Danio rerio: one gene and its partners. The protein of the gene in region 6 interacts with the protein of the main gene of each other region in a pairwise test. Links are inferred from orthologs where the notes say so. Each region holds a gene or a part of one and is shown on either strand. Other genes may lie near its edges.

Region 1 (4,460 bases), on a different chromosome or scaffold from region 6:
CCAGAGACTTTCTGAGTACATTCACATACGACACCAATACTCCGATTTTAATATGATTAAGATTATACTCTTATGAAAATTCTACCGTGTAGCCTAAGCAGGGCCGGCGCATCCATAGAGGCGACCTAGGCGGCCGCCTAGAGCGGCAGTATAGAGAGGGCGGCATCCGCGACACCTCCCTTACCACCTGCGTCCTCAGTTATGTCCGCGACACCTCCCCCCTCAGATATATTCGCGCATAGACGACAGAATAGAGAAGCCGGCGTAAGCGACACCTCCATCAGCACCTGCATGTCCTCATTTATATCCGCGCATAGGGCGGCAGAATTGAGAGCGCAGTGTCTGCGACACCTCCCTCACTCCCTCCCTCAGCACCCGCGCGTCCTCAGTTATATCTGTGCATAGTGCGCTGGAATAGAGGGCCGCGACACCTCACTTCATTTTCATTACCGGTCACTTTCGTTTTCACATTGGGGTTGAGGGCGGCGTGATCGTCCTCTGCCTAGAGCGGCAGTTCAGCTTGCTCCGGCCCTGAGCCTAAGCAGCGATTTTATTTCCTTAAAGAAACACCGAGTCACGAAATGCGGTGGATTTTCTTTCTGTCGCCAAGTCGAAAGTTAAAAATGAAACACCCGAAATTGCATGAAACTCTGGATAACCTGTGATGCAACTAATTGTTTTATACTGGAACTTGCCTTCAAAAAGTGCTTCCTTGGTCTTATCCACATTTCTTGCATGTTAAACTCACGTCCACCACAACAGGAAGTAAAAAAAAAACCCTGGAACTGCGTTAAAGGCGTAAATTTTTTTAACACGTTAATTATTTAAAATTAATTGCACTAATTTTGACAGCGCTAATATATACACATATTGTTTAGAAAAACTCACTTAATTTTGACTCTTTATTTCTGAAAACAAGGCAATATTTTTTACTTGTCCAGAAAATGCCTCTTGATTTAAGAATTTGTTGATATTTTGAACTAGATAAAACACAAGAAAACAATTTAGTCCACGTCTGTAATTATTTACACACATTTTCATAAGTAAATAAACAGATTTAGAGTTGATTTCAGATTTCTGCACGCGCTCAGATTCCATCTGGGCCTAGTTATGAGTAAAGGTCAAAGGTCATCATCAGAAATCATACGTTCAGTGTCTGATCTGGTCTCTCCAGCGTCAGCTTCAGTGTTTCGAAGAGGAATGGAGATGTGTATCTAGTGTTTCCTTATTTTGGGTCAGGAAAGCACAGGCTTGTTGACTTCCTCTCCCTCCCTTCCTTCCTTCTCTGCGAAGGTACTCATCTGAAAAATGAGAACAAAGTGATTGTTCCTGTTCTCTTTCTTAAGTCACTTCAAATGCGGAGTGTGAAGCTGGAGGCGCGTAGAGAGAGGAGAGACGAGCAGGAGACGACAGGTAAGACACACACACACACACACACACATGCACACTGCAATTACCAATGCACACATGCAAATCTGCATATGATCTGCTCAGAGCATTACATATCACATGCAAAGACAGTTATATGACTTCAAAATGTGAACAGTTCTCATATGAAATTTGAATTCTTTTAAAAAATGTTGTATATAAATATATTTAAAATAAATTGATTGGAGATAAATTTAATTTAATGGTTGTTTGATGGAGAGATTTTGCCAACATATGGATTACTAATTGATTTCTTACTAATTTCTTTTGTTTTCATCATGATGACAGCACAATATTTGACTAGATATTCTTCAAGATTCTAGTATTAAGATTTAAAGAGACATTTAAAGGCTTAACTAGGTTAATTATGTTCATTAGGGTAGTTATTGTGCAACAGTGGTTTGTTCTGCAGACAAGCAAAGTATATATTACTAAAGAGGGTTACAATTATTTCCCTAAAATTATATTAAAATCATCTAACTGCTTTTATTTCAGCCGAACTAAAAGAAAGCACACTTTCTCCAGAGGAAAACACTATATTATAGGAAATATTGTGAACATTTGCTTGGTCTGTTAACCCTTTGACTGCCTCTCTACCAAGCAGCTGAGCGTGTTCTGGCTGTTTTAATTAATTTCAGTAATGGCTGTTTTAAATAATGACACACACAGCATTGTTGGTTTACACACAAAAAAATCAAACAAACATAGTCCTGTTGCACCACTACACTCGATTTTGGTTTTATTGTGAAAGAAGAAGCAAGAAAACATGTTCATTGAGAATCTGAAATATTTTATGGCATACTTTAAGAGGATTTAGTACTCACAAATGTTTTATTTTGAACATTATATCATATTGCACTTTATATTTTATGATTTTTCATATATATTAAGTACTATAAACTGGCATATCTACCATTAGGTAGAGGCTGATATTTTAGAAATTATGGGATGTGCATTGAGTGTGTTAACTACAACATTAGGAGTTAAGAAATGCAATCCAAACATTTTTTTTATTTCAAACATCATTTAAACTGAATAACAATCTTACAGGAGGGCGAATAATTCTGCCTTCAGCTGTTCATGCATCCAAACATTGCTTGGCTTTACATGAAATCTGCATCTTTTATCAATGCAAACATGACGTGATGTGCAAACCGCATAGTGATTTACGAGCATGTGAATTACCTGTTCAATGCTGGTGTTTCTGTCAGATGAGTTAGTTTTCTCTGTTCCAAACTGGAATTTTTTTTATGGCCATAATATATATACAGTGGAGGGCAAAAGGATTTTTCTCAAGCGATATTTACCAGGGCGTCACGGTGGCGCAGTGGGTAGCACAATCGCCTCACAGCAAGAAGGTCGCTGGTTCGAGCCTCGGCTGGGTCAGTTGGTGTTTCTGTGTGGAGTTTGCATGTTCTGCCTGTGTTGGTGTGGGTTTCCTCCGGGTGCTCCGGATTTCACCACATGCGCTATAGGGGAATTGATGAGCTAAATTGGCCATAGTGTATAAGTGTGAATGAGTGTGTATGGGTGTTTCCCAGTGTTGGGTTGCGGCTGGAAGGGCATCCACTGCGTAAAACACATGCTGGATAAGTTGGCGGTTTATGGGACTAAGCCGAAAAGAAAATGAATTAATGATATTAACTGGATTAAGGAAATTTTCGTAGTATTATTTGTTTCGTCTCTTTGGTAAACAGCAGTTTTAAGGACTTTTTAAAGCGCCGTTAATTATAATATCAAGCACCTCTGTAACTCATACCCCAGCATACGCAGTGCCATGAAGGTCCTTACTAGTAATTTAGACTCTTCTTAGTCATTTTTAAACACTGTGCCAATTTAAAGTCATGTTGAAAGAACTTTAATAAAACATGTAGTATTCAATGCGGTTTCTGAAATATTTATCAAATGCGCATTATTTGTTAGTGTTGTTGTACAAGATTTAAATGTATAATGTAACATTTAAATGTTGCCTTACAACAAGAAGGTCGCTGGTTTGATTTCCGGCTGGGTCAGTTGGTGTTTCTGTGTGGAGTTTGCATGTTCTCCCCGTGTTGTTGTGGGTTTCCTCCGGGTGCTCCAGTTTCCCCCACAGTCCAAACACATGCGCTATAGGGGAATTGGGTGAACTAAATTGGCCGTAGTGTGTGTGTGTGTGTGTGAAATAGTGTGTATGGGTGTGTCCCATTGATGGGTTGCAGCTGGAAGGACATTCACTGTGTAAAACATATGCTGGATAAGTTGGTGGTTCATTCTGCAGTGGCAATACCTGATTAGTAAAGTGACTACGCCGAAAAGAAAATAAATGAATGCTAATTAATTAACCTTTAAATGAAATTATTAATGATTAATTTTACTTTTTTTAATTCTGTTTTTGACAGCAGCACAGTATAATTGTTCAAATAACACCAAAAACCTATTTTATTTCAATTGTAATTCTGCCAAATTAAAAAACCTGTGTTTGTTTTTGCGTTTGTTACATGCCTTGAATCCGTACATTTGGAATTCAAGTACATTCAAAAAGTGTGGGGACCCTGATTTTTAAAAAGCATTTTATGGTCAATATTATTAACCCCCTTCAGCAATATTAGTGTTGGATTGTCTCCAGAACAAACCACTGTTATACAATGACTTGCCTAATTACCCTAACTTTACCCTAATTACCCTAGTGAAGCCTTTACATGCCACTTTAAGCTGTATAGAAGTGTCTTGAAGAATATCCAGTCTAACATTATTTGCTGTCATCATGACAAAGAGAAAATAAATCAGTTATTAGAGATGAGTTATTAACACTAGCATGATTAGAAATGTGTCCCTGCGTTAATTAAAAATTAAGTTATTTAAAAAATTAAACAGGATGGCTAATAATTCTTACTTTAACTATATATACATTTTTTGTGTATATTATGGCCAGAAAAAAACTCATCCAGCTCAGAGCAAAGAAAACTAACTCAACAATCAGCTGCTGCTTTACATCTGACAGAAACACCAGCATTCAACAGGTAATTCACATGCTCGTAAATCACTATGCGATT
Region 2 (4,452 bases), on a different chromosome or scaffold from region 6:
AGGTCACAGCGTCAGTACACTGCTTCAATCTTTCGCTTTCACGCTTGTACTTAGTAATTTTAGCGAAAACCTCAGAGACAGATCACTCAGCCTATTCATGCCAGAGTCCTGCGGAAAAAGTGATTGACAGGTGGTGATTTGTGTGTAATTTTATTTATTTGTGATTTGGTTATGAGTAAAATAAAGACCATGTGGGTCAGGTAGTTGAAACGGTAGGCTAATAACTAATAATTAATTCTTTATGAATTAAATAATTATTCATAAATAATGAATTCACCGCAGCCTACGACGACAATCCCATCATTCATCCTGATGTTTCACATTAGACACTGTAAGATGTCAAATTGGTCGACATCGCCCAACCCTATTTTCACTGTCCCTTTATTGTGTGATATGACGAAACAGTGATCTTAAACAGAAAAGTATTTTCAATTCAAATGATTGCAGGTTTGGCTAGAAAACAGCATTGCATAGATCTCAACTTAACTGCTTATTCACATCTTAATGACAAAATGTTTGTGGAAATAAAAACCTTTTTTGGCTTTGGCATGTGCGGCTTCCTGTTTCTCCAGCTGTGTCTCTCTTTCTTTCCATCTCCTGATCTGTTCTTCTCTCATTTTAAAGAAGAGAACTTGTTTCTGTTCCTCGTTCAGCTCAGCCAGGAGATCCGGCTCAATGTACATGTCGATCAGTATCTGCTGCAGCATCTTCCCGTGTCACTGACAAACACCACCTTGACAGAACTCAAATATCTTCAGTCAGCAGAGGGGTAATAGGGGTGTCTCTTGTTCTTTGAGAGAGGTGGACTGTAAAAACACAACCATTTCAAACTCTTTTATGTTCTTCCTCAGACGAAACGTTATAGAAAATAAATTACGATACTTTACACAAACAAAGAAAAAAATACATCATAAACAAAACATTTCAACCACATAAAGCTAAAAAAAAATCTCAAAGAGAGAGAAAAAAGTTGGAGATAGATTTAGTTTGGGTTCTACCAATAAGGATTAAGCATTTATCTAGATTAAGATTTTGAATTATTTTGGATTGTTACCTGATAAGACTAATACATTTACATTTACAAATGAGGACAAGGAAGCAATTTACACAACTATAAGTGCAACAATGAATAAGTGCTGTAGGCAAGTTTCAGGAATGTAAAGTGTAAGAAGCAAAACATTAGTATTTTTTTTTCTGTAATACAGTTAGCGATGGAGCCAGAGAGGCAATTGCAGATAAGGAAGGAAAGTAATGGATGAAAAAAAAAAAAAAAAACAATAGATGAAAAACACAAAATAGCAACAGGAAATGTTGAGAATTTTTTTTACCACTTCATTTAGCCTAATTTCTTGCAAAAAATGCTTTTTAGCAACTCATTTCGTTTGGTATACTTTGTATCTTTATTTTAATGTATTTTTGCTGGTCAGTTATCTACAAAATAAACTAAATAAATCAATACATTTTAGGTAAAGTGGCATTTTTTTTTTAATAATAAAGGAATTATGAATTCAATTCAAGTAGGCCTATTATAACATTTTAAAATATAATATTTGACAATTTTCTTTATTTAATAGATTTGAGTTATGAATTACAGCATTACAATACTACTTGGTATCACAATACTTTAGCTGGTATAGTATCGTAACATGAATTAATGGTATCGCGACAACCCTAGTTTGTAGACTACCTAAAGGCATCACTTTAGTTTTACTGAAATTAATCCTATAACCTGATAGGCACTAAAATCTTTAATAACATTAATAAAATTATTTAAAGATATTTCTGGTTTTGATAAGAAAACAAAACAAAAATGAGACGAATCTCATGTACTACATTAAAAATCATTGATTAGCTTTAACATCTGCTTCATTTTAATTTCCATTGTTGGAACCAAATGATGAACACAGAATTGTTATACATATCAATTAGAAATCAGTATTGTGAGATGTAAAAAACTGAACAAGTAAAAAGTCAGATAAAATATAACTGAAGGCATAAACAGAATTCTGACTCCTTTTTGTGGGGAAATTTGGATATTTAAGCTCAGAAATGCTGGAAACAAAAGTCACAATTACACTTAAGTCACAATGTAAAAACATAGGAATACAGTGTAGTCTAACTGTTAAACGGATGTCTGGTAATCTCGAGACAAATTTATCATATTTGAACAAACCCAGAAGTTTTACATACAATATAAGAATGTAAACAAGCAACAGGAAGCTACACAAAACAGTCAATCAATCAATGCCAGATCAAATCCAGCACTAATGACTCACACACGCAGAGAGAGAGAGAGAGAGAGAGAGAGAGAGAGAGAGAGAGAGAGAGAGAGAGAGAGAGAGAGAGAGAGAGAGAGGTAAACTTACCGCTTTAATCAAGTCTTGACACACTCATTACTCGCATGGGGATTTGAGAAACACTTCAGTGGCTTACCTAAAAACAATCCCAAAAAAACGCCGACTATAACCTTTCATTCCTTTGAGAACTACACCTAACATTAGGAGAAACCTGTACAGAAAGGTAATTCTCGAGTGAAGTCAGTGGTAATGTTGAACACACCCTTAAAACTCAAACTCAGTTCCCTCCTACACTTGGTTCTTCCTCCGGCTCCGTGTGAAAGACACATTCAGCTGCATGAAAGGTGCTTTATGTGCCGCTCTTATATTTGTTTGCTTTATTAGACATGCGCGCAGTTCCTCTTAAATGCCGTCAGCCACACAATTCTAACTCATTTACTATAGCAATATAGTATATTTTGGTATATTTTGGATACATATTTAGTTACACATAGCGTAGCTAGCTTTAGCTTACATCCGTCCAGCAGATTCTTTTAAACCTCACAGTGCAGGTGAAAGGCGAAAAGTGCAGAGACTCAGCGTGGAATGTGTTGTTCAATGACCTCTGACACGGATAGGAAACAATTTTAAAGATTGAGTGATTTTAAGCAATTTTTCAAAGTTAAATTAAACGTACATAAACAGAGCGTTATACATTATGCACTGTTCATAATACAATATTGCATAATTAAATAACACAAATATTGATTAGTTGTGACGAACGACCCGCACTAGATAGAGCACTTGTCCATAAAAAAACACTGAAATAGCATATGGGTTGACAATATCTTAATGTTACCTTTCAGATTGGCATGCATACATTGTTTTGTTTTATGTTGAATTTAATGTACATAAACAGCGTGATAAAATAGTTTCATAATACCTCTGATTTGCATATTTTAAAAATCTTGATTTGAGCAATATCAGTGGTGACGAACAACCCACACTAGGTGGCGCACTTGTCATAAACCACCACCGAAATCGCACATGGCTGAAATTTCTTGATTTTCTTTCAGAGGCCTATGCATACATTTTATATATTAATCATGTAGTTTCAGTATGCTGTATCCACTGAAAAATAATAATGTAATGTAATATTTTAACAGTGTGTAGTGCAATAAGATTGTCATTGTGAGATTTTTTGTGTTTAATAAATCAGTTTCCTTGGCAGATGGACTGAATCATTATAAGGACACAAACATATACGTAATTAATGAAAATAAACAGCACATAGTTCGAACAATTAACTCTTATGAACTGCTTAGTTTCAGTGAATCATGTAGCATCCAATTTTCTGTTGCCTGAACTAAAATGGTCCTGTGGTCCACTACAGTGAACATGCTGTAAAATTAAAAATAAAAACAAAACGTAAAAAATGTAAAAACTCTAAATTGTAGATTTTTTTTAACCCAAAGGAGGTAGGAAATCACACATAAAAAAAGAAAAAAACATTCTTTGGGGCGACGCAGTGGCACAGTAGGTAGTGCTGTCGCCTCACAGCAAGAAGGTCGCTGGTTTGAGCCTCGGCTCAGTTGGCGTTTCTGTGTGGAGTTTGCAGGTTCTCCCTGCGTTCGCGTAGGTTTTCCCCACAGTCCAAAGACATGCGGTACAGGTGAATTAGTTAAACTAAATTGTCCATAGTGTATAAGTGTGTGTGTGAATGAGTGTGTGTGTGGATGTTTCCCAGAGATTGGTTGCGGCTGGAAGGGCATCCACTGCGAAAAACTTGCTGGATAAGTTGGCGGTTCATTCCGCTGTGGTGACCCTGGATTAATAAAGGGACTGAGCCGACAAAAAAATGAATGAATGAATGAACATTCTTTGGGTCTGAGGAGGATACAATCATTATTTATTTAGAAGCTGAACTTAAGTCAATGGAATTATTTATTATTTAACTTATTTATTTAAATATAAAGATATAATATATAAAAATATTGAAATATAAAAACCATATAAAATATTTTCATATACTCAATACAGGTTAAGTAGTTTTGACATTGATGTAGGAGTGGTGAGGTGTGGATAGCGATTCTTTGTCCAATTGAACTTATTTGGTACATTATAGGGGATAGATTTTTCTTTCTGAAAATATTTGGAAACTCTATCGATGGCACAG
Region 3 (3,995 bases), on a different chromosome or scaffold from region 6:
CATTAGCATGTATGATCCACCAATCAGGCCATTCCTAATCCACTATAAAGAGCCAGGGTTTTTCACTACAGCCACCTTCGGTTTGACGAACCCCCCTTTCACCCCTACCTCTTCACCTTTCCCTTTATAGGGTGGCACGGTGGCCCAGTGGTTAGCACTGTTGCCTCACAGCAAGAATGTCACCGGTTGTAGTCTTTTAAAAGGGCAGCGGTCGTTTATGTGCGTAGTTTGCATGCTCTTCCTGTGCTCGTGTGGATTTTCCCCGGGTTCTCCGGTTTCCTCCCACATTCTAAAAACATGCACAACAAGTGAATTGATCAATCTAAGGGTGCTTGCACATCTGTAGTTCGCTTCATTTGGTCTGCACCAAGGGCAATAAATGATACATTGTTGCATTTTCTGCCGTCGTTTTCTGTGTGTTTTCACACCACGCTGCTGGCTTTGGTCCGAACCAGTTGGAACAAACCAAAATGCAGTCATCTGATAAAATCCACTTTCTCATTGGCCAGATGTTGTTGAACATATTTCCTAAACTGCGTATCGATTGGTCAGAATTCATGTGCGGGAAAAAGCCAATGAACTCCCACAAGTAAACAAAACCAGCAGACACAAAATGTAGCTTTTTAATGGAGGGACGACTGCGCTGACTGATTGTATCCCTGCTTTAGACAAACTATACATTTTAAGAATGAAGCGCGGCCGCGGCTGGAAAACAGTGTTTTAATGCATCGCACGTCACTTCAGGAGGAGGCGTGAATTAATTTAGCTAAACTGCGACATGCTCATCTTGCGGAAATATTACCAACGATCCATCAGGTAATGTTTTCCCTCTCTCTCTCTTTCTTGGTAAAGCGCTGTCAACAAATATTTTTCCTCTATATCCCATAATGCACAGCGCATCGGCCTACGGCAGCTGACTTAGTCCGAAAGGCGCAGTACTTTTTGCGGTTGGACCTGTTTTAGTACGAATCAAATTCTCACCACAAATGAACCGCTCCAGGGTTCATTTGAAAGCATACCAAGAACACCTCTTCAAGCAGGTCTCAGTACGCTTATTTGGTCCGCTTTTGGTGCGCACTCGAGTACGATTGCTGCATTCTCACCTGCCCAAACGAACCGCACCAAAAGGGAAAACGAACTCTAGTGCGATTCAATCAAACTAAATAAGGCAGGTGTGAAAGCACCCTAAATTTAGCACTAAAGTCAATCTCTCATCCTGCAGCAATTCTCTTCATAGCATTCATTTCAGTCATCAGCTCTTATCAAGGAAGGAGTTGTCGAGATCTACCTGAGCTCAAGGCTCCCCTCTCGCCCTGCAAACGGGAGGGAGCCCAGGGCTCAAGGACCTTTTGAGCTCAGGGCTCTCTCCCGGGACAGCATGCCAAACTTGCTTATAATCAATCATCAGCTAAGTGTGAACTCTTGAAAGAACAGATTGATGCAGCTTCTCCTATCGCAGCAAATTCCGTTTTTACTGTTGATACTTGGCGCCAGTTAATCAGGAAGTGTTTTGTTTGCTTTGACTCGTTAGAAGGTAATGCTGCTTTATTCGCATGACTTTAATGTGATAATCCAGTTTTGCACATAAAGTTCATTCGCATTTTTGGATGGAAACAGCTATTGACTTGCCTAATTAACCCAACTTTACCCTAATTAACCTAGTTAAGCCTTTAAATGTCACTTTAAGCTGAATACTAGCATCTTGAAGAATATCAAGTCAAGTATTATGTGCTGTCATCATGGCAAAGACAAAAGAAATCAGTTATAAGAAATGAGTTAAAACTATTATAATTAGAAATGTGCTGAAAACATCTTCTCAGTAAAACAGAAATTGGTGAATGAAATATACAGGGGGGCGAATAATACTGACTTCAACCATGTATCTGAGAAAAACAAAGTATAGTAATGTCAGTTATTCCAATATTGTGTAACTTCACTCACTATGGCGGCACTTTGCCCTTGACGGCGCAGGCTGGTGTTTTGTCCTGCAGGTTCTGTAAGGACTGAGATCTCCTCATGCTGGTCTTCGCCGCAGCTCGAGCGTTATGACTCACAAAGTCCACTGTGTGTCCTCTCACATGCATCTGGACACACATCAACACACACACAGACCTCTGTTACGCAACACTGTCTGCAGGAGTGTGAATGAAGTGTTTGTGAGTGTAAGTGTGTGCTGAGTTAGTGTGTGTGTGTGTGTGTGTGTGTGTGTGTGTGTGTGTGTGTGTGTGTGTGTGTGTTTCTGACCTCAGAGTCTGAGTCTCCAGCAGCGGTCGGTCCACTGTCTGAGCGCCGCAGCACCGGTCGACCCCCGGCTCCACACACTGAATGAGCCTTCAGGAAGTTCTGATATTCAGGCTTCTTTAAGGGGCTTGTTTCCTGCACACACAAACACACACACACACACACACACACACACACTCTTACAGCTATCTTATTTTCATAGACATAAGGATGTTTCTACTGTACAGACTGTATATTCTCTCCTCCTGCCCTTAAACCAGCCCTCATTGGAAACAATCTGCATCTATGAGCCGTTTTATTCATATAGGGACCAAAAATGTCCCCACAAAGTCAATTTGTACTGGTATTACTATAATAATAATAATAATAATACATTTTATTTATAACGCGCTTATCTAAAACCCAAAGCGCTCACACACACACACACACACACACACACACACACACACAAAAACAAACATGATCACATGTAAAAACACAGTCAATCATACATTTGCACACACACACATACACACACTCAAACACACACACTTAAACAAAAGAACATTATCACAGATGTGCCCTCACCACACACACATACAAAAACAAACACATATAAAAACACATTCACACACACACACATTTAAACACATACACATGCACAAAAACACTCACACACACATAATGCTTGTGCAAATGCAAATGCTTGTGTGTCATTATAGTGGCAGATTTAAGACTTATATCCTATGCTAATGAGGAAGAGATGGTCACTAGTGGGCGGGGCTTTCCCACTCTGATGACATGTACAAAGAGAAAATGTCAATCAAAGTGTTTCTGTTTTTATCGAGAGGGATTATAAACAATAAAATGAATAAATTTTTACCATTAGAAGCTGCTTATATTCATACACTGCTGACACACAACTGTGTTTAAACCTCTTATGAAAGTAAGTTTTACATAATAGGTCTCCTTTAAACTTCTAATTCATTATAAAGTCCCTATACATGTTTCTTTATTTAACCAGATAAAAACCCATTGAGATCAAGATCTCATTTACAAGGGTGACCTGGCCAAGAGGTCTGCATCACATGATTTATATAAAAAAAAGAAAAAAATTTAATAATATTAATAATAAATAGAAAATTAATATAATATAAAAATACAGTTCAGTTTTCCAGCTTTACCACATTTCAGTATATTAAAAACACATGCATTGAGAAATGGACTGTTGTTGTTTGTTAAAAAGAATAGAGTGAAACGATGTCATTGGGATGAGCTCAGATATCTTTACTTCAGACTGAAGAGTATTTTAGGATGAGTGGGCGGCATGACTAAAGGCTCGCTTTCCTATTTCAGTTCGAACCCGGGGAACAATCAAATTATAAGATTCACTTGAGCGTAGGGCATGCTTTCTTTTAGACTTATGGAGAAGGGAACATAGGTATGAAGGCACCAGTCCCAGAAGAGCCTTGTAGACCAGAGTCATCCAGTGGGTGTACCTTCTTACACACAGAGAAGGCCACTCAGCTTTAGCGTACAATTCACGATGATGAGTAAGTCTTTGACAGCCTGTAACAAACCTTAGCGCACTATGGAGTTTAAAGGCTGAAGACATTTGTTTGAAGCATGCATATATAAAACATCACCATAGTCAATAAATGGTAAAAATGTTGCAGACACCAAATGTTTACGAGCTTTAAGAGAAAAGCAGGATGCATTTCGATAGTAAAATCCGAGCTTAACTCTCAATTTTCTAACCAAATTTGCTATGTGTT
Region 4 (3,995 bases), on a different chromosome or scaffold from region 6:
CCCTCTCCTCCACCTTTCACAGATGGGTGGCACGGTGGCCCAGTGGTTGGCACAGTTGCCTCACATCAGGAACGTCACTGGTTCTAGTTCTTACAAAGCCAGCCAACGTTTCTGTGCAGAGTTTACACGTTCTCCCCAAGCTCACCTGGGTTTCCCCTGGGTTCCCCGGTTTCCTCCCACCGTCCAAAAACATGCAACTTAAGTCAACTGCCCAATCCAAATAGACGTTTTATAGACATAGACATGCTCCTAATAAGTAAAAAGCTCAAACTCCTTTCTCGCCTTGCAAACAGGAGGGAGTCCCAGGCTCGAGGATCTTATGATGGTACTTGATAGAAAATTAAAGTCTTCTTTCACAAACCGAAAAAAATGCAAGATTTGGGAGAAAAATTAGGCTGTGAATAGAGGGAGAGCATTGTTCATTATGATTGTGAGCTCTATGTAAACTAATAGTAATCTTGTGTCATCTCTTTTGTACTGTTATACATGCAAGATGCCGCCGTAAGTATTTAGTTAGAACGTAGTGTTAAGCTTAACCTAAGTTCGGTGGTGCAACACTAAAATATTTAGTAATGTGTAAGTTGTAACTTAGTGCCCTATTAAGTCACAACTGGGCTATGTTTTAACTTGTGCACTGCTGGTGCAACCGGCCCCTGTTGAACACAAAAGAAGCTTTTTTAAATAATCCTGGTTGATTGGACTTATTGACCTCCATAGTATATATTTCTTACAACAGAGGTCAGTGGGTTTCCTCAACAAGCATTTTTCAAAACATCTTCTTTGGCATCCAACAAAAGAAAGAAACTCAATTAGGTCTGAAAGCACATGAGGTCAAGTAAATGATGAGGTAGTTTTCATTTTGGGGTAAACTATCCCATTTAGAGGGTAAATAAATGATGACAGAATCATCATTTTGTATTTTAATACAAATAAATAATTATGAATGCTGCCTAAAACTTTATGTTTGTGCTTGCATTACAAATGTAATCTTGTTTTTATGCTTAATACACACTTACTAGTCCACTAACAAATGTGATAATCCTGTGTGTAGAAAAACTCCTTTTGTTGACCAACAGATGGATCTCAATGCCAGGTGTAAACAGGACCTCAGAGGCCCTTAATATGTTCCACAGATGTGTTTTGATCATTTGAAGTGCATGAGTACCGTTGAAATGAGAATCTGGTTTGTCCGAGTACTGCTCAAGAACGTAAAGAGCACTTAAAAGTGTCTAGAGGCGATGAGATGCTGAATGATGAGTATTGCCGGGGATACTCTTTTCTTCTGTCAGTCCGTCTTCCTCCTGGCCATGCTGGATCTCAGCATCAGTGTGCACTCTTGAGGAACCTCAGGGTTGTCAATCATGCGCTGCCAGAGCCGCTGCTCCTCCCCGTAGGCATCGTTCCAGTCCACTTCCTTCCCATAACTCAGACCTGCAGGCCACAAACAGGTCAAAGCAGAGCTGCTTCACTCTCAGACACGCATGGTGGAGGAAATTCAACAGATGGTGAAAGAAATTCTGTCATATATTAGCTACCTGGGTGACACAATTTTTGATAGCAAAGAGACAATTTTTGTCATTGATAGCAAAAAGGCCATGAAACATTTTTACAATTGAAACGTTTTGTCTTCAAAAAACTAAATATGCACGAAATGTTGGTTTTATTTGGAAGTAATGGCTTTCAAAACACATTTAGTACAAGAGTGAATGATTTATTGGCTGGTATGTTTGTGTTTGTGTGTGTTAAACTCACCAAGTCTCCTATTACTTGATCAAAACAGTAAAAATGTGAACTAATAATTTAAAATAAAAGTTTTCTTTTATAATACATTTTAAAATGTGATTAATTTATGTGATAGCAAAGCTGGATTTTCATTATCATCAATCCCGTTGTCAGCATCACATGATTCTCCAGAAATCATTTGCACATATGTTGATTTGGGGGTCAACATTTTTGATTATTATCAGTGTGAAAGTATTTGATAAATACAATAAAAACAGTTTTGTTGTGAAATATTACATAAATTTAGAATGAAATAAAATGCCTTTTTTATTGCTGTGATTTAAAGCTGAATTTGCAACTGTCAATATTCCATTGGACAGAAAGAGCTTAACTCTCCTTTTCTTCTTTGCAGAGTTGTCAGTTTTCAAAGCTGTGGTATTCTTTTTGAGTCACCCTGTATAATATAACAGTTGTGCTTCTTCACAATGTAAGCTTTCATCTTCTTTTAAATAGTTACTTATCCATAAAGAACATATAACATTCTTCCATAGTAGCAGTAAAAACATTAATACTCCATACATTGCTTGTACTTCAAAGAAATTGTATTATTTTTAATTTTCCATTGATCGCATCCTGAAAATGATTAATACATTTTATATATTTCTACAAAAATTTGAAAGAAAGAAATTCAACACTGGTAATAACAAGAATCAGAGGAAAAAAACAACAATAAAAATATAAATAAATTACATAAAATGGTAATTAAAATTCAATATGACAAATTTATAATATTTTTGAACAATTAAATGCAGCCAAAATTTCAACTGGCTATATATATATTCTTAAAGGAAAGAAGAAGAATTGTATACACACATGCAGTAAATTTCTATATAAATAGCCAAGTTTCCCTGTTTTAAAATAATTCTCCTTATTCTCCTCAGATCATATATGAAGGCAAATAATACAGCTTGCAATAGTACTGTTATGTCTGAATTATCACTAAACGCACATATCACTGTCCACTTTTAAAATGTCTTGCAGTTTAGTAGAAGTTTTTTTTTCACGCAAGAAGAGGTTAAAAGTCCTAATAGAGGTCAACTATATTAAGAAATCTTAATGGTACAGTACAAAAAGAAACAGATAGAAGGTAAATGGAAATGGAAACCATTGCTAATTATAAACATTTTAAAACATCGTCATCCATGAGGAACAAACCACTTGATCATGAGCGAGTGAAGATATGAATAAAACATCTTGAAATTAGTTTAGCATGAATACAGAATGTGTTGCACGCAGTAATGCTTCATGCATCATTGATGACAGATTAAGCAGACGTTTAGTAAGATCATTAGAGGGGAAATTTGATTCAAACACATTTGGGACCAAATGATTCTATTCATGTGAGTCACAGAACATTTCACAGCAAATCAAAGCTGGACAATTCTGGCATATTAATGTGGGAAATATATATCCAGAGGGGAAGTCAAATTATGGCAAAGAAGTGGATGAAATGGACTTTGGTAGACTTTAGTAAATAAAGTTCCCTCTTTCTCCTCAAAAGTTTTTTTGTTATTATTTTTAATTAAAGTATTTAAACATTTTCGTATGACTTACTTTTAAGTGTTGTTATATTAATTAATATTTAAGTTTTTATAATTGAGGAACTGTAACATAGGTGAAATAAAAATGAAATATTAAATCAAAAACATACAAATTTAAAATCTGAAATATGTTTGCAAAATAAATAAAAAATAAGCACAAAAAAGCATATTCAAACTGTACTAAATTTATAAACTAAACTAAACTAAAGTTTTAAAAATAATTTAACATGAAATTTGTCAAAATATTTTGGTGTTTGGCTTTTGGAGCTGATAAATACTTTTTTCGTGTTTTTGCATGATTAAATTAATTAATTAACTTTTAAATTAATAATTTAATTAATAATTTAATAATAAATGTGTGGGTAATACTGCATCGAAATTAGTGTTGTTTCTTATTATTCACATATTCAAAAAATATATTTGCTTGTCTTTAGTATATGGAAGGTAATAGATTGTTATTTATCATTTAAAAGATTACAATCCCTAACAAACAAATATTGATAGTTATCATCAACTAAAAGAAATGTAAAATACTAAAACGTGATAATATTATGATTTGTTAACTGACATTTTTAGCATATTATCTACTATAACAGCATAAGCATAATACTGAAATAGCAACTTCCATATAAAGTACAAAACTGCATTTCAGTATTGATTTCACACACTTTA
Region 5 (4,725 bases), on a different chromosome or scaffold from region 6:
AAGTATCTTGAAAAATATCTAGTAAAATATTATTTACTGTCATCATGGCAAAGATAAAATAAATCAGTTATTAGAAATGAGTTATTAAAACAATTATGTTTAGAAATGTGTTGAAAAATATATTCTCTCCCTTAAACAGAAATAGGGGGAACAAACAGGGGGCCTAATAATTCTGACTTCAACTGTATATCATTATCGTTCAATTTGGAAAATAGTTAATTTTGATTGCATTTTTGCCACATCCCCCAGCCCTATACCTTCATGTATGTTTTATTAAAAAGCTACAAATTTTAAGTTAGAGTATTTTCCATACATTAAATGCTGATTAACAATTTAAAGCTTATTGGTATAAGCAATCTTTCATTTTGACAACCATTTTGACAAATGCAAATTACATTTACGGTTACAAAGTACAAATTATATGGATTGCAAGAGTAGATTTGTGTAATATTGGAATTGGGGTTGAAAATTATTTTTATAAAAACTGATGGTCTGTTTTAAGATGCAACCCAAGGCAATAAAAGAAAAAAATAATCAAAGAGTATAATGGTAATATGGTATAATATATAGGGACAGTAGAAGGGTTGTGAAGGGTTGACTTTTCTGGCCCTAAAATAATCATAAGCCTTATCCCTGAGCCCCAGTGACCAAATGTTGCAAGATATTATTGTGTCTCCTGTCATTGTCATTTCCACAACACCCTATTATTTCTATTACCATTTTTTAAATATATTTTATTATTTCTCATCACATATTAAAAAATATCCACAATTGATATTATTACACAATTCTATTTAATATAAAAAATTTATTTATTTATTTATTTATTTATTTATTTATTTTCTAATGAGTTTTTACCTAAACTAATATTACATTTCAGAATGTGACAATAATTCAGCATTTGGTCACTGGGGAAGTAAATTTAATTTATTGACAAAATGTATGTTGAGGGCAGTGCGGTGGGGCAGTGGGTAGCGCTGTTGACAGTAAAAAGGTCTCTGGTTCAAGCCTCGGCTGGGTCAGTTTCTGTTTGGAGATTGTTCTCCCCGTGTTTGCGTGAGTTTCCTCCAAGTCCTCCGGCTTCCTCCACAGTCGCTATAGGTGAATTAGGTGAGCCAAAAGTGTCCATGTGTGTGAATAGGTGTGTATGGGTGTCTTCCAGTGAAGGGTTGCAGCTGGAAGAGCATCCTTTGCGTAAAAACATATGCTGGATAAGTTGGTGGTTCATTCTGCTGTGGCGACCCCAGATTAATAAATGGACTAAGCTGAAAAGAAAATGAATAAATGAATGAATGAATAAATATTGTACACTGACTGTAAAAATACTGTAAAATTAGTTATAAAATTGATCAGTTCTTGAGTGGTATTGACTGAGTTATTCAATTGTTAAATAACCGCTGTGTTTTGAGATGTGATGGAAATGACATATGTTCAAATAGTTGGAATTAATGTGAAATATTAACAATTTCTCTTGTAATCTAAGTTTTTCCTCTTACAGATCTTAAGCCTAGACATATTAACTAAACTTATGAGACTGTAGGTGACTTTTGAACAAGTTTTTTTTAATAAACGTCAGTGGCCCTAGTTGAAGAAAAGCCTGTGTTTGAGTGCGCTAGTGTGTAAAATTATGGGCCTATTCTGAATTTTATACAAAATGTTTGTTTTCAGACAAGTTTTCTTAAAAACATTCCTTGATTAATCTGATAAATAGTCCTTTTATTGTGAAATACGTTTTGAGACTTTTATTTTAAAGTAACCTGCGGATGTAGTGCAGGAAGTTGATACGTTCTGTTTGTTGTTTTGGTGCCACGTTCACGTCTCTCACTACATTTAAAAATATATTGAATAAGCGAAAGGTCAGTTCTCACGTTACTCCTTTTAAAAAACACCATTTTGCTTGGTCGTTACAATTTTAGGGCTAACTTAAACGTTTAACGAAATGAATCTTTCGAGCTAAGGGTTCTTGGCCAGCAGGAAAACGTTAGAGGAAGTGATGCTAATGTCAGTAAAGCTCCTAACAGTTATATTTATTGGACAAAGCATGCAAAGACTAATGTTTATTTTAGTACACTATCTTTGGGTTTTGTATTGGTAAATTAACCAATAAGATCAGCCTGTGTTTGTTTGGATTCACAGGCACTGCTGCTTATTGAAATGCTTGAACAGAATACACACACACACAGACACACACACACAGATATATATATATATATATATATATATATATATATATATATATATATATATATATATATTTGTACTATATATAGAAAAAAGGAAGTGTGTTTGTGTGTGTGTGTGTGTGTGTGTATACATATATATATATATATATATATATATATATATATATATATATATATATATATATGTATATATATATGTATATATATATATATATATATATATATATATATATATATATATATATGTATATATATATATATATATATATATATGTATGTATGTATATTCTGTACAAGTATTTCAATAAGCTGTGCCTTACATACACTTCGTGTTTAAACCCTTTTTCCTAGGTGTATCCATGTCAAAGGTGTCTTTAGGTAAACTTCTACTCCGAAATGTCATCAGACACACAGATGCACATAACAAGGTATGTGACAATTTAAACACAATATTTCATAATTATGTAATCTGAAAGTCATCTGATTCAACTTAAAACTGCAGATTCAAGAGGAGTCTGAGATGTGGAAGTTGAGGGATCTTGAACGACATACCTCGTCCACTCATTTCCCAAAGCACAGGTGGATCACATGCGGCTCAACATTTCTTTTATTTGTGCTCACGGTGTGTGTTTCTCAGTAGTTGTAATGTGTAATGGTCATTTAGGGGCAGCATGCATTGTGACCGCTATTTGGACGACTCAGAAGGGTCAACGAGAGACCGGCTGGGTGAGCGGAGAGACGATGTATCTGAGAGAGATGAGAGGGAGGCACGATACTGGACACGCAAACTGTATGAGTTTGAAGCCAATGATCCTGACAGGTAGTGCTGGTTGGTGTTGTGCTCGTCATGTTTGAACTGTTTTGTACACTGTAAAACCCAATAAGTTAAGGTAACTCAAACCATTTGAGAAATCCGATTGCAACAATCCATTTAAGTACAAAAACTAATCCTAATGAGTACTGTGAACTTAATCCACTTGAGTAAACGCCGCAATTTCAGCGCAGTAAAACCCAATAAATTAAGTGAACTCAAACCGACTGAGTACTGTAAAAGCCAATAGATTAAGGCAGCTCAAACTGCTTGAGGAAACTACAAACCATTCGAGTTAAACTAATCTATTTGAGTACTGTGAACATTGTAACAAAAGGCATAACATGTTGTGTTCTCTCAGGTGGGGCCACAGTGGCTTTAAGGAGCTTTATCCAGAAGAATTTCATACAGACAGGTAAGAAGAAGCTCTTCTTCCACCCTTGAGTGAATGTTTAGCATATTGTTGTAGGTTTTGAGCAAGGTTGGAGAAAGTATGTGGTATTTAACAGCGAAATTGAACATTTATAGATTGAGGGAAAGTTGCCTTTTTATTTGCACATTTTTCAGTGATAGCTAGACATGGGATGATAACCGTTTTCAAGGTATACCATGGTTTGGAAAAGTCAATGTTTTAAACCTGCCAACATTTTCTGCTACAATTTTAAGAATTAAAAAAAAAATATATATATTTATTTATTTTATTTTTTTATGTTTTGTTGTAATTTTTAGGACAAAAGTTTCCAGCAGAAAAGATCTCCAAAATCTCCTAACCCTTTTCAAGTTGTAAAGAAATCTGTGTTTTCGAAACTATGAATGAACAATGAACAAATGAAGGCATCAGAAGTCAATGATTCGTTTGAATTGTTTAACCTGACATGTTTATTGCTCAAAAATATTGTAAATCACAGTAATCACAATACAGAGAAACCGTGATATTTTTATCCAAGTTTATCACACCATTAGAATCTTATACCAGCCCATACCTAGAGACAGCTTGTGACAAGCTATCTATATTATTAAAAAAACTTTTTTCTGTTGGATATCACATGCAAATGTGACTTCAAAACAACATTAGTATTGTTTATTTGACTGTAAACAATGTTGTACTTTGATAGTCATTGGCTGCTAATATGATTTCACTGTTTAGAATTTGTAAAGAATACTTGTTTGAAATTATATTATTAAGGAGAAAGTCAGAATGTGCGAATATAAAACCAACTGTACTTCAACCATTTATAGATGTTTGCATTAACAATTCCTAACTATAACAAAGTTTCACCCCATCAGATGATTCTTCAGCTTCACTTGAAGTTTAAAATGTATTGTTTCCTTGTACCAATATCTATGTACATTTTAACTGCTATACAGTGTAACCATCATTACCAATCTTGTTAATAGACAGGTTCCTGTTATAAAATCACATTTTATTCTTAAAATAAACTATTAAAGAGAATATATTTTATTTATACATTGTGTAATTTTAATTCATTTATTTATAAAGTTTAATCCAGAGAAAAAAAACATTGCCACCATCAAATGAAAATGTTTTTAAAAAGTTATAAAACCGTTACTCTAAAGTTGTTACAGAATTTTTATTATTCACCAAATATATATATATATATATATATATATATATATATATATATATATATATATATATATATTAAAATTTAAAAAAGCAGTCATGTTTTAATCATTACTCAGTACATATATACAATGCTGTACAACTAT
Region 6 (3,414 bases):
TTTTTACATGGTCATCAGGCCGCGACCCAAATTTTTAGGAACTATAATATAATTTTAGGAAATATAATTCATTTGTATTTATTTGTTAACACACAAGTAATGACTGATGAATCAAAACGTATCAAATTATAGAAATATTTCAGAGTAAAAACGTCAAATACTGTAAACAGTGGTTTGGGTAAGGAAAAGTTTAGTTACTATTAACTAAACTGAACTGTTAGTAAAACATTAACACATGATCCGGTTGAACAGAAAAACAGCAAATTAAAGTAAACATATTAAAATAATCATAACCATTTTTATAATAATCACCAGTTATTTGCTCTTCTGCTTTTGTGTGGGCTTTCTTGGCCTTTGCTACACGGTGAGCTACACAGTAAGATAAGCGGAGTGCCTGTACTTATTTTGAACATGAAGATGTTCGGCACTTTTGTGATTCCCTCAGCCATTGGAGTCGTCTTTGGAAATAGTTCACAGGTTTGTCCTTGCAACTAGGATGTTTGGTTTCTAAATGTCATTTTAATTTAGAAGGTTTCATGCTCTCTTGTGAGATCACCTCACTACAAATAACGCACTGAGGCTTTAAGCCTTTTTTGTCGTCAATATATGTAAATCCACACTTTACATATTCAGGGTTGTACTTGCGCTTTGACATTGTTGCCATAATTAAATGAAATTTCGCATGTCAAACAGTACAGTTGTCGCACGCGCATTTCAAAATAAAAGTCTGATATAAGCAAAATAAGTTAAATTAAACTTTTTTTTTTTATCACACACTCTGCAACCCACCAGTTGAAAAACACTGATCTATGTGACAAAAAGTTGAGTTTTTCTATGTGTTTGTATCACGCATATATATATAAAATACACATTATGTCAAAACAAAACTTTATTTTGGATGTGATTAATCTTTGCCTAGCACTAGTTAATTTACAGATATATATAATTATGAAAAATATGATTCTTTATCATACTATTTTTATTATATATATATTGTTCCTAAATAGAGGTTTTCTCTCTCTCTCTCTCTCTCTCTCTATATATATATATATATATACACTTAAAATATACAAATTTTGTTATATATATATATATATATATATATATATATATATATATATATATATATATATATATATAATTTCTATTTTCTAATGTTTTGTTGCTTTACTTTATGCATTTAATGTTTAAAATAATTGCTAAAAATGTTTTACATTTGATGTCAGAATAAAAAAAAAAAGCCAATATTGTTTACTGCTAATGAAGGACCCTATATAATACTGTATTCATTTTTCATACTACAGTATTAAAGTTGAGAACATGACAGTTTTCGAATACATAGTATGTTAATGAACTGTAATATAAAATGGGCAACACTTTAAAAATAATAGTGCACTAGTGAAAGTTGTGCTTGTTAACATTAGTTAATGACTATGAGTAAACATGAACTACTGTTATTTGGGTTAAATTACATAAACTATTAGTAATGGATTTATTTGGGTATTTATGTTGGTATTTTACCAGTTACTATATATTAACCTTAAATGATAAAATGTGCCAACTTGTATAAACTGATGAAATATTTCTATAGAATAGATTGCATTTTGCTGTGGTGTAATTGACCCAGATGTTGAATTTGCTGTAAAAATGGTTGTTGCTTTTGAAGATTAAAGTAATTAAGTTATGTTTTTGTAAGCAATTACACATCATGAAATAAAATATTACATTAAGATTCAAAAGAAACAGCCATTTTACATAAAGTGACAGCTATTTCAACATCAGGGTCAAAAACACTACAGCAATGTAATCTATGGAAGTGCACTTGCTTCTGAATCTGAATCTGAATGAATTCACCCTCATCTTTTGGCAAAACATAACCGTGTTGTTGTTGTTTTTGACAGCATCATCCTGAAGCTGAAGGAACATGAGGAGTTTTTCCCCGCTTTCCACTCGTTCATGCTGGAGCTTCTGCAAACTCTGGGTGAGAAATAAACTTTATTCATTCAAAACATCAGACCACATACAAAATGAGCTGAATTGATCACAGTGCAGACGCATTGTGCGTCTCGAACTGATAAAAATAATAATAAATTCATAAACGTTTCTCTCTTTCAGACGTCCAAACTCTAGACGACGTTTTACCAAGAATCCGTTCTCTCAAAGGCTGATGTTTGTAAAGCACCGTGTGGTTTTAGACCTGACTATTTATTTAAAAACTACTTGATTCTCAGTGTTTGTATTTTATAAATAAATCTGTGCCGACAGCAGCAGTTTGTCATAAAACCTCTCATATATATTAATAAGAAACAGTCTTTTTTTTTTTTTAAAGATGTGTGTTCAGTCTCCGTCCTCTGTGTGTCCTTGAAGTTTCTCCATGATCAGACTGTTTGAAGGTGCGTTAGTGATTAACGTGAGCACAAATGTGCCCTTTAAAACATGTCGTATGACCGTACAGGATGCCAGATCCTCGATGTGAAAGCCAGCGTGATGCTGAACGTCCTGCTGGAGAATTGAGTCCGGCGTCTGAACTGCGAAAAACTGCGGGAAAACAAACATTGTAAGCAGTGCTGGGTAAAATGAGCTCAAAAGTAGCTAAATTACTTATCCACTGAAAAAGTAATGGGATTACCTTTTAAAAATGTGAACTTTGTTTTGATACAATTAGCATTTAAGTCCTTTTTGCAGTGATCGTCTATATCACTAAAGAATGGTGTGTGTGTTTTGTTTTATTAAAATGCTTAAGTATTACATTTTTAATAAAGCTAAAGACCATGTTTGACTTGTAGTTGACTCATTATTTTTCAGTAATTAGAAGTTAAGTTGTAAGCTAAATAAATGATAAGACTGTTTCTCAACCATGTTCCTGGGGAACCACCAGTGCTGCCCATTTAGTTACCTTAACCAAACACCTGATTTAGATCGTCAGCACATTAGCAGAGTCTGAAAGGCGTGTGATGAGTGTGACAAAGGAGACATCCAAAACATCCAGTGCTGGTGATCCTCCAGGAACATGGTTGAGAAACACTGCTGTAGATAATGCTTTGATTTGCAATCAGGTTGATGAAAACATCCTAATACTGGGTGTAAACAGGGCTGAAGTGAACACATGGTGTTTTATTTAGTGTCTTCATGATCAGATTGACAGCATGTTTTAGTATGTGGTGTAAATGGGTTGAAAGTGGACAAATCTAAAGCAAGTCATATTCTGTTCACTCCTGTATTTAGTGTGGCTCAGATTTACAAAAAGAGATCAAAATATCTAATGTAAACATGGACAAAAATAATGTAGTTTACAATTTGGTTGTTGTCAATCTAATCAGGCAGACGACACTAAACATGCTTGCTAATACTAGGTCTGAACAGGGAAAAATTGAAAAATCTAAACAATTTACACAGATATTTATTGGTACAAAA
Region 7 (3,995 bases), on a different chromosome or scaffold from region 6:
CCTTGTGGTGGCACAAGACAGGAGAGAAAAAAAGAAAACGAAAAAAAGAGGGAGGTGGGAGTAGAGGAAGACAGAAATAAGATATAGTTGAAAGGAGGGGGGAAAAAAAAGAAAAAAAAAGTCCCCTATTCCCTAGACACAGTAGGGAACGAAAAGGGTGGGATAGGGGACAAAGGATTGGTGATCTGGAAGGAGTGGGGGGGGAGAAAAAAAAAAAAAGAAGTTAATATCAAACATGTATGCATGACAAATGCTGACTCATCCTAGCTCTGAACTCACCTCTCCTGCTCACAGTTTAACCTCCTCTCCGCTCTCACTGTGGTACTCGGCCACATATAGACTCTTGTCAATACTGCTGGGAATGGGCTTGATTTCAGTACCCAGCTGTTCTTCAATACCTTTCAGGTTAAAGCGGTCATCATAAGTGATCAAGTTAATGGCAAGACCCAAGTGTCCAAATCGGCCTGAGAAGGACAAAAAGGCAATTATCATTTACACAGATTCTTCTTCAAAAACCTAGCCAGTCAAACAGCAAGATATAAGATGTGAACTTAAGTTCTCAGGTCCAGTTGACATCTCATATTAACATTAGTGTTTATTAATACAACCAGGCGGTCATTTATGATACGTTTTCATTTTGTGTTTGGATTGGTTGACACCAATTACCTTCTCACTCTATACATCACTTTCAGAAAAGTATTCAACGGAGATTAGGGCTTGGCTGATGAATGATATCGAATTGTGATAAAGTTTGTGATAAACAATGATAAAATCTGGAAGTTTTACTCTTTAGCAAACTAAGAGCCAAGCAGAAATGTGCAACAACAGTAATCTAAAAAAAAAAAAAAAAAAAGTGGACATTAGAGAAGTACCGAATCTTCAGCTACCAAAAATGTGCCATAATTTATTTTTTGTGGCTTCAGTCACTGTTGGGATAATATTCGATATGGAAAATTAGTGGAACGGAAATTAAGATATTTAAAAGGTGAAATCTGAGCACCCATATCTGCCATAGGCAGATGGATCAACAATAAATAAAAACAAATAAACATTCCTCAAACAGACCATATGCCTTGAGTGGTTATATTGAAATATTACCAGGGAACGAGAATCTTGTGTTTTCTACACATGGTTTTTTTAAGCCCACTCACCTGCGAGAGTTGCACTCAGAATTGATACGATTTTTAAGAATGTCTTGTGGTGAGGTGTGAACAAAAACAGAACCCCCTCTTCTCTCCCGAAGGAGATTGAGAGATTGATTTCTAGTTGTTGCTTAAATAGTAGTGAATCAGCAGTCTGTGTGGGAATGGGAAGAGCACACCAGTGAGGAACAGTGAATGAAAAGGTTTTGAAAATTGACTTATAGCCTCTCTGCTATGGTACCACAAGGCAGTGCTCACTCACTAACCTAAGGCTCCTGGAGGGGATGCAGGCCTTCAGGAGCAGGAGGAGGTACTCTTTGAAGGGCAGCTAATCATCCAGGATCACCCCAAGAATCTTTGCTAAATTACACAGGTTAATCCACAGATTATTCCAGTTGGATTGAAAATTTTTATTGAATGTGTGGAGTGGCAGGGAAGACAAGAATTTGGTGGTGATGGTCTTTCATCCAAGCCAAGATATCCTCTAGGCAGTGCGAGATCCTTGCAGCTATCGTTGGGTCATCAGGAAGAAAGGAAAGTAAGAGCTTGGTTTCATTGGCATAGCAATGAGAAAACCATGTGATTGGATGATGGTTCCTAGTAATGGTGTAAATAGAAAATGGAACTGGACCAAGAACAGATCCCTGAGGTACTCAAGTGACCACCTGATGAACCTTAGATGTCTCTCCTCTCCAGGTAACTCTGAATGATCTGCTGATGAGATGAGACTACAACCAGCAGAGTGGGATTCCAGCGATGCTCATTGATGAGAGGGTGGACAGCAGAATCTGATGAATCATTATCATTTCAAAAGCAGCAGACCAGTCCAGTATAAGCAGAAGAGAGGATTTAGCACCGGCTTTGGCAATCCGCAGGGCTTCAGTGACAGTAGTGCAGTCTCAGTGGAATGTCTACATTTGAAGCCTGATTGGTTTGCATTCAGCAGGTTATTAAAAGGTGTTAATGTAGAGATTTTGGTTGCAAACTACCTTTCAAGTGTTTAGGCAACATCATATATTTATGATCTGAGCATAAAGGCATATGATCAGTTGAGAGTGTTTTTTTTTTTTTTTTTTTTAAGAACTTTTCAATAACAATAAACATGTCAAAACTATTGCTGTCTGGGTGGAAGCACACAAACTTTAAATATAAAATATGATCCAAATCATACGCCAAAAACAAACGCAGGTCTCAGCAGTCAGAATGCATCTAGCATCTACTTGCAGAAACCAATCTGCTCAAACAGGTTTGACTACCGCTCTTAAAAAAAAAAAAAAAAATTTAATTAAAAAAAGTATTTTTTGTAAATACATTTACTGCCGTCTACTTGTGAAAGTAAACAGGACCTAGGGGGGAGAGATCGAAACTAAACCCTACTCACCAGATCTGCCAATGCGATGAAGGTACGTCTCCCCGAGTTTGGGAAAATCGAAGTTGATCACCACATTCACAGCTTGAATATCAATTCCTCTCGTGAAGAGATCTAATAAAAGTTTACATGATTCAAAAAAACTCATACAAACAAGCCAAAGAAAATGCATGCTTAAACTATGATTTAATAACTATGATATTAAGCAAACACTGATATTCAATGGTCCTTACCAGTGCAGACGAGATTTCGACATAAGCCGTTTCTGAAATCATGGAACACGCGGTTTCTGTGTTCCTAAAAAATTTAAATAAATAGAAACATGTTGGCAAAAATCACAAGACACAAAAGCCCCAAATCATTTGAAATTCCATACACATTTCAGAAATCACAAACACTTGCTCCGTTTCAGAATTGTGCCAACAGCAGTGCAGTCACACCACATGCCCTCTTTATACGCACCTGCCTCATCTTGGCATGAATGTAGAAACAGGAGTACCCAAGCTGTGAGATCTTTTTAGCCAGGAGTTCCACTCGCTGGGACGAATTGCAGAAGATTATAGACTGATTGATTTGGAGCTGAAGCGAAAACATTAAAAAGATCAGATCTGCCTGTTCTTAAATGGTCAGTAGTAATGGATCAGATGAGAATGCAAAGTGCTTTTACCCTAGAGAATAGAGTATTAAGGCAATGGACTTTCTGCCTTTCAGTCACATAGGCATAATACTGAGTAACCCCCTTCAGGGTCAGCTCCTCCATCAGGTTTATCTCATAGGGCTTCTGGAGATGGGAGTTCTGTTCACAAAAACAAAGGGTGCATTAATCACTTCTGAAATCTAATGATGGTACAATTACATGCAACATTTCTTTATGGCCAAAAGAATGAAAAAAAAGTGTGTTGTGTAACAAAACTAAAGCAACATGTTATTTTAATTACAGATTGACAAGTATTTTTTTATTTTATTTTTTTTTATTCAGGATGTGAAAGCGCTGCGTCAAAACCTTCTTTACCAATCAGATTGGCACTTTTGCTCATGTGCACGGAGCTGCTGAAGTTACAGTAAACAGCACTTGGAGGCGCTCAAGCGCAAAACTGTCAATAGGAAGCACATTAAAGAAGATGCCCAGAGGTGATATGAAAGTTTAGCTTCTTACTGCTCTTGTGAATAATAATAATTTCTTCATCGCTAGAGCTGCCGCTTAAACCATCCATGCTTGTCCGAGTCACCAGTAACTTTAACAAGCGTGTGAACTTCCTCTCCTCCTCTTCTTCCGTTTAAGCGGGTGTCAGAAGCTTAAAGTTGTGTAGCGCCATCAGACGTCAAGGAGTGATTTTGCATAGTCTTCTGCTTGACGCCAGTGAAAAATCACTTGGGTTTGAATGCAGGAAAACGTCTCATAAAACGATGAAGATTAACGCAAATGAAAAGCGTCCTGGTGTTTAGGAGCCTTAAGCGTGGCACACTAGGCACAGTTGCCTTGA

What was found.
Region 1: the proteins of cep70 (region 6) and znf366 interact in binary tests that used the Homo sapiens proteins (3 or more experiments, as listed by UniProt). The link is inferred for Danio rerio from reciprocal best matches to the Homo sapiens genes CEP70 and ZNF366.
Region 2: the proteins of cep70 (region 6) and sh2d4a interact in binary tests that used the Homo sapiens proteins (3 or more experiments, as listed by UniProt). The link is inferred for Danio rerio from reciprocal best matches to the Homo sapiens genes CEP70 and SH2D4A.
Region 3: the proteins of cep70 (region 6) and enkd1 interact in binary tests that used the Homo sapiens proteins (3 or more experiments, as listed by UniProt). The link is inferred for Danio rerio from reciprocal best matches to the Homo sapiens genes CEP70 and ENKD1.
Region 4: the proteins of cep70 (region 6) and sytl5 interact in binary tests that used the Homo sapiens proteins (3 or more experiments, as listed by UniProt). The two-hybrid records come from large-scale screens. The link is inferred for Danio rerio from reciprocal best matches to the Homo sapiens genes CEP70 and SYTL5.
Region 5: the proteins of cep70 (region 6) and nkapd1 interact in binary tests that used the Homo sapiens proteins (3 or more experiments, as listed by UniProt). The two-hybrid records come from large-scale screens. The link is inferred for Danio rerio from reciprocal best matches to the Homo sapiens genes CEP70 and NKAPD1.
Region 7: the proteins of cep70 (region 6) and ddx6 interact in a two-hybrid assay, tested with the Homo sapiens proteins (2 studies listed by BioGRID and IntAct). The two-hybrid records come from large-scale screens. The link is inferred for Danio rerio from reciprocal best matches to the Homo sapiens genes CEP70 and DDX6.

What each region holds. Positions count from the first base shown.
Region 1 is NC_133183.1:1,328,515-1,332,974, reverse strand, and holds the start of znf366 (zinc finger protein 366), read left to right. Parts: upstream 1-1,380; 5' UTR 1,381-1,413; intron 1,414-4,460. UniProt on the Homo sapiens protein: Has transcriptional repression activity. Acts as a corepressor of ESR1; the function seems to involve CTBP1 and histone deacetylases.
Region 2 is NC_133185.1:7,484,041-7,488,492, forward strand, and holds the start of sh2d4a (SH2 domain-containing protein 4A), read right to left. Parts: upstream 2,915-4,452; 5' UTR 2,812-2,914; intron 2,637-2,811; exon of another isoform or gene 2,560-2,636; intron 2,434-2,559; 5' UTR 2,367-2,433; intron 807-2,366; 5' UTR 708-806; coding exon 533-707; intron 1-532. UniProt on the Homo sapiens protein: Inhibits estrogen-induced cell proliferation by competing with PLCG for binding to ESR1, blocking the effect of estrogen on PLCG and repressing estrogen-induced proliferation. May play a role in T-cell development and function.
Region 3 is NC_133183.1:3,674,618-3,678,612, reverse strand, and holds part of enkd1 (enkurin domain-containing protein 1), read right to left. Parts: intron 2,377-3,995; coding exon 2,245-2,376; intron 2,085-2,244; coding exon 1,942-2,084; intron 1-1,941. UniProt on the Homo sapiens protein: Microtubule-binding protein which regulates microtubule organization and stability. Promotes the stability of astral microtubules and facilitates the proper orientation of the mitotic spindle.
Region 4 is NC_133184.1:31,997,062-32,001,056, forward strand, and holds part of sytl5 (synaptotagmin-like protein 5), read right to left. Parts: intron 1,432-3,995; coding exon 1,286-1,431; 3' UTR 1-1,285. UniProt on the Homo sapiens protein: May act as Rab effector protein and play a role in vesicle trafficking. Binds phospholipids.
Region 5 is NC_133190.1:24,174,763-24,179,487, forward strand, and holds the start of nkapd1 (uncharacterized protein NKAPD1), read left to right. Parts: upstream 1-1,772; 5' UTR 1,773-1,856; exon of another isoform or gene 1,857-2,154; coding exon of another isoform or gene 2,155-2,257; intron 2,258-2,492; coding exon of another isoform or gene 2,493-2,542; coding exon 2,543-2,611; intron 2,612-2,685; coding exon 2,686-2,762; intron 2,763-2,847; coding exon 2,848-3,003; intron 3,004-3,355; coding exon 3,356-3,409; intron 3,410-4,725.
Region 6 is NC_133197.1:12,295,186-12,298,599, reverse strand, and holds the end of cep70 (centrosomal protein of 70 kDa), read left to right. Parts: intron 1-1,901; coding exon 1,902-1,981; exon of another isoform or gene 1,982-2,115; coding exon 2,116-2,168; 3' UTR 2,169-2,337; coding exon of another isoform or gene 2,338-2,538; 3' UTR 2,539-2,774; downstream 2,775-3,414. Other genes in the region: mmadhca (metabolism of cobalamin associated Da), read right to left, coding at 2,338-2,538.
Region 7 is NC_133193.1:46,828,435-46,832,429, forward strand, and holds part of ddx6 (probable ATP-dependent RNA helicase DDX6), read right to left. Parts: intron 3,308-3,995; coding exon 3,179-3,307; intron 3,091-3,178; coding exon 2,974-3,090; intron 2,809-2,973; coding exon 2,745-2,808; intron 2,626-2,744; coding exon 2,524-2,625; intron 465-2,523; coding exon 289-464; 3' UTR 280-288; intron 186-279; 3' UTR 1-185.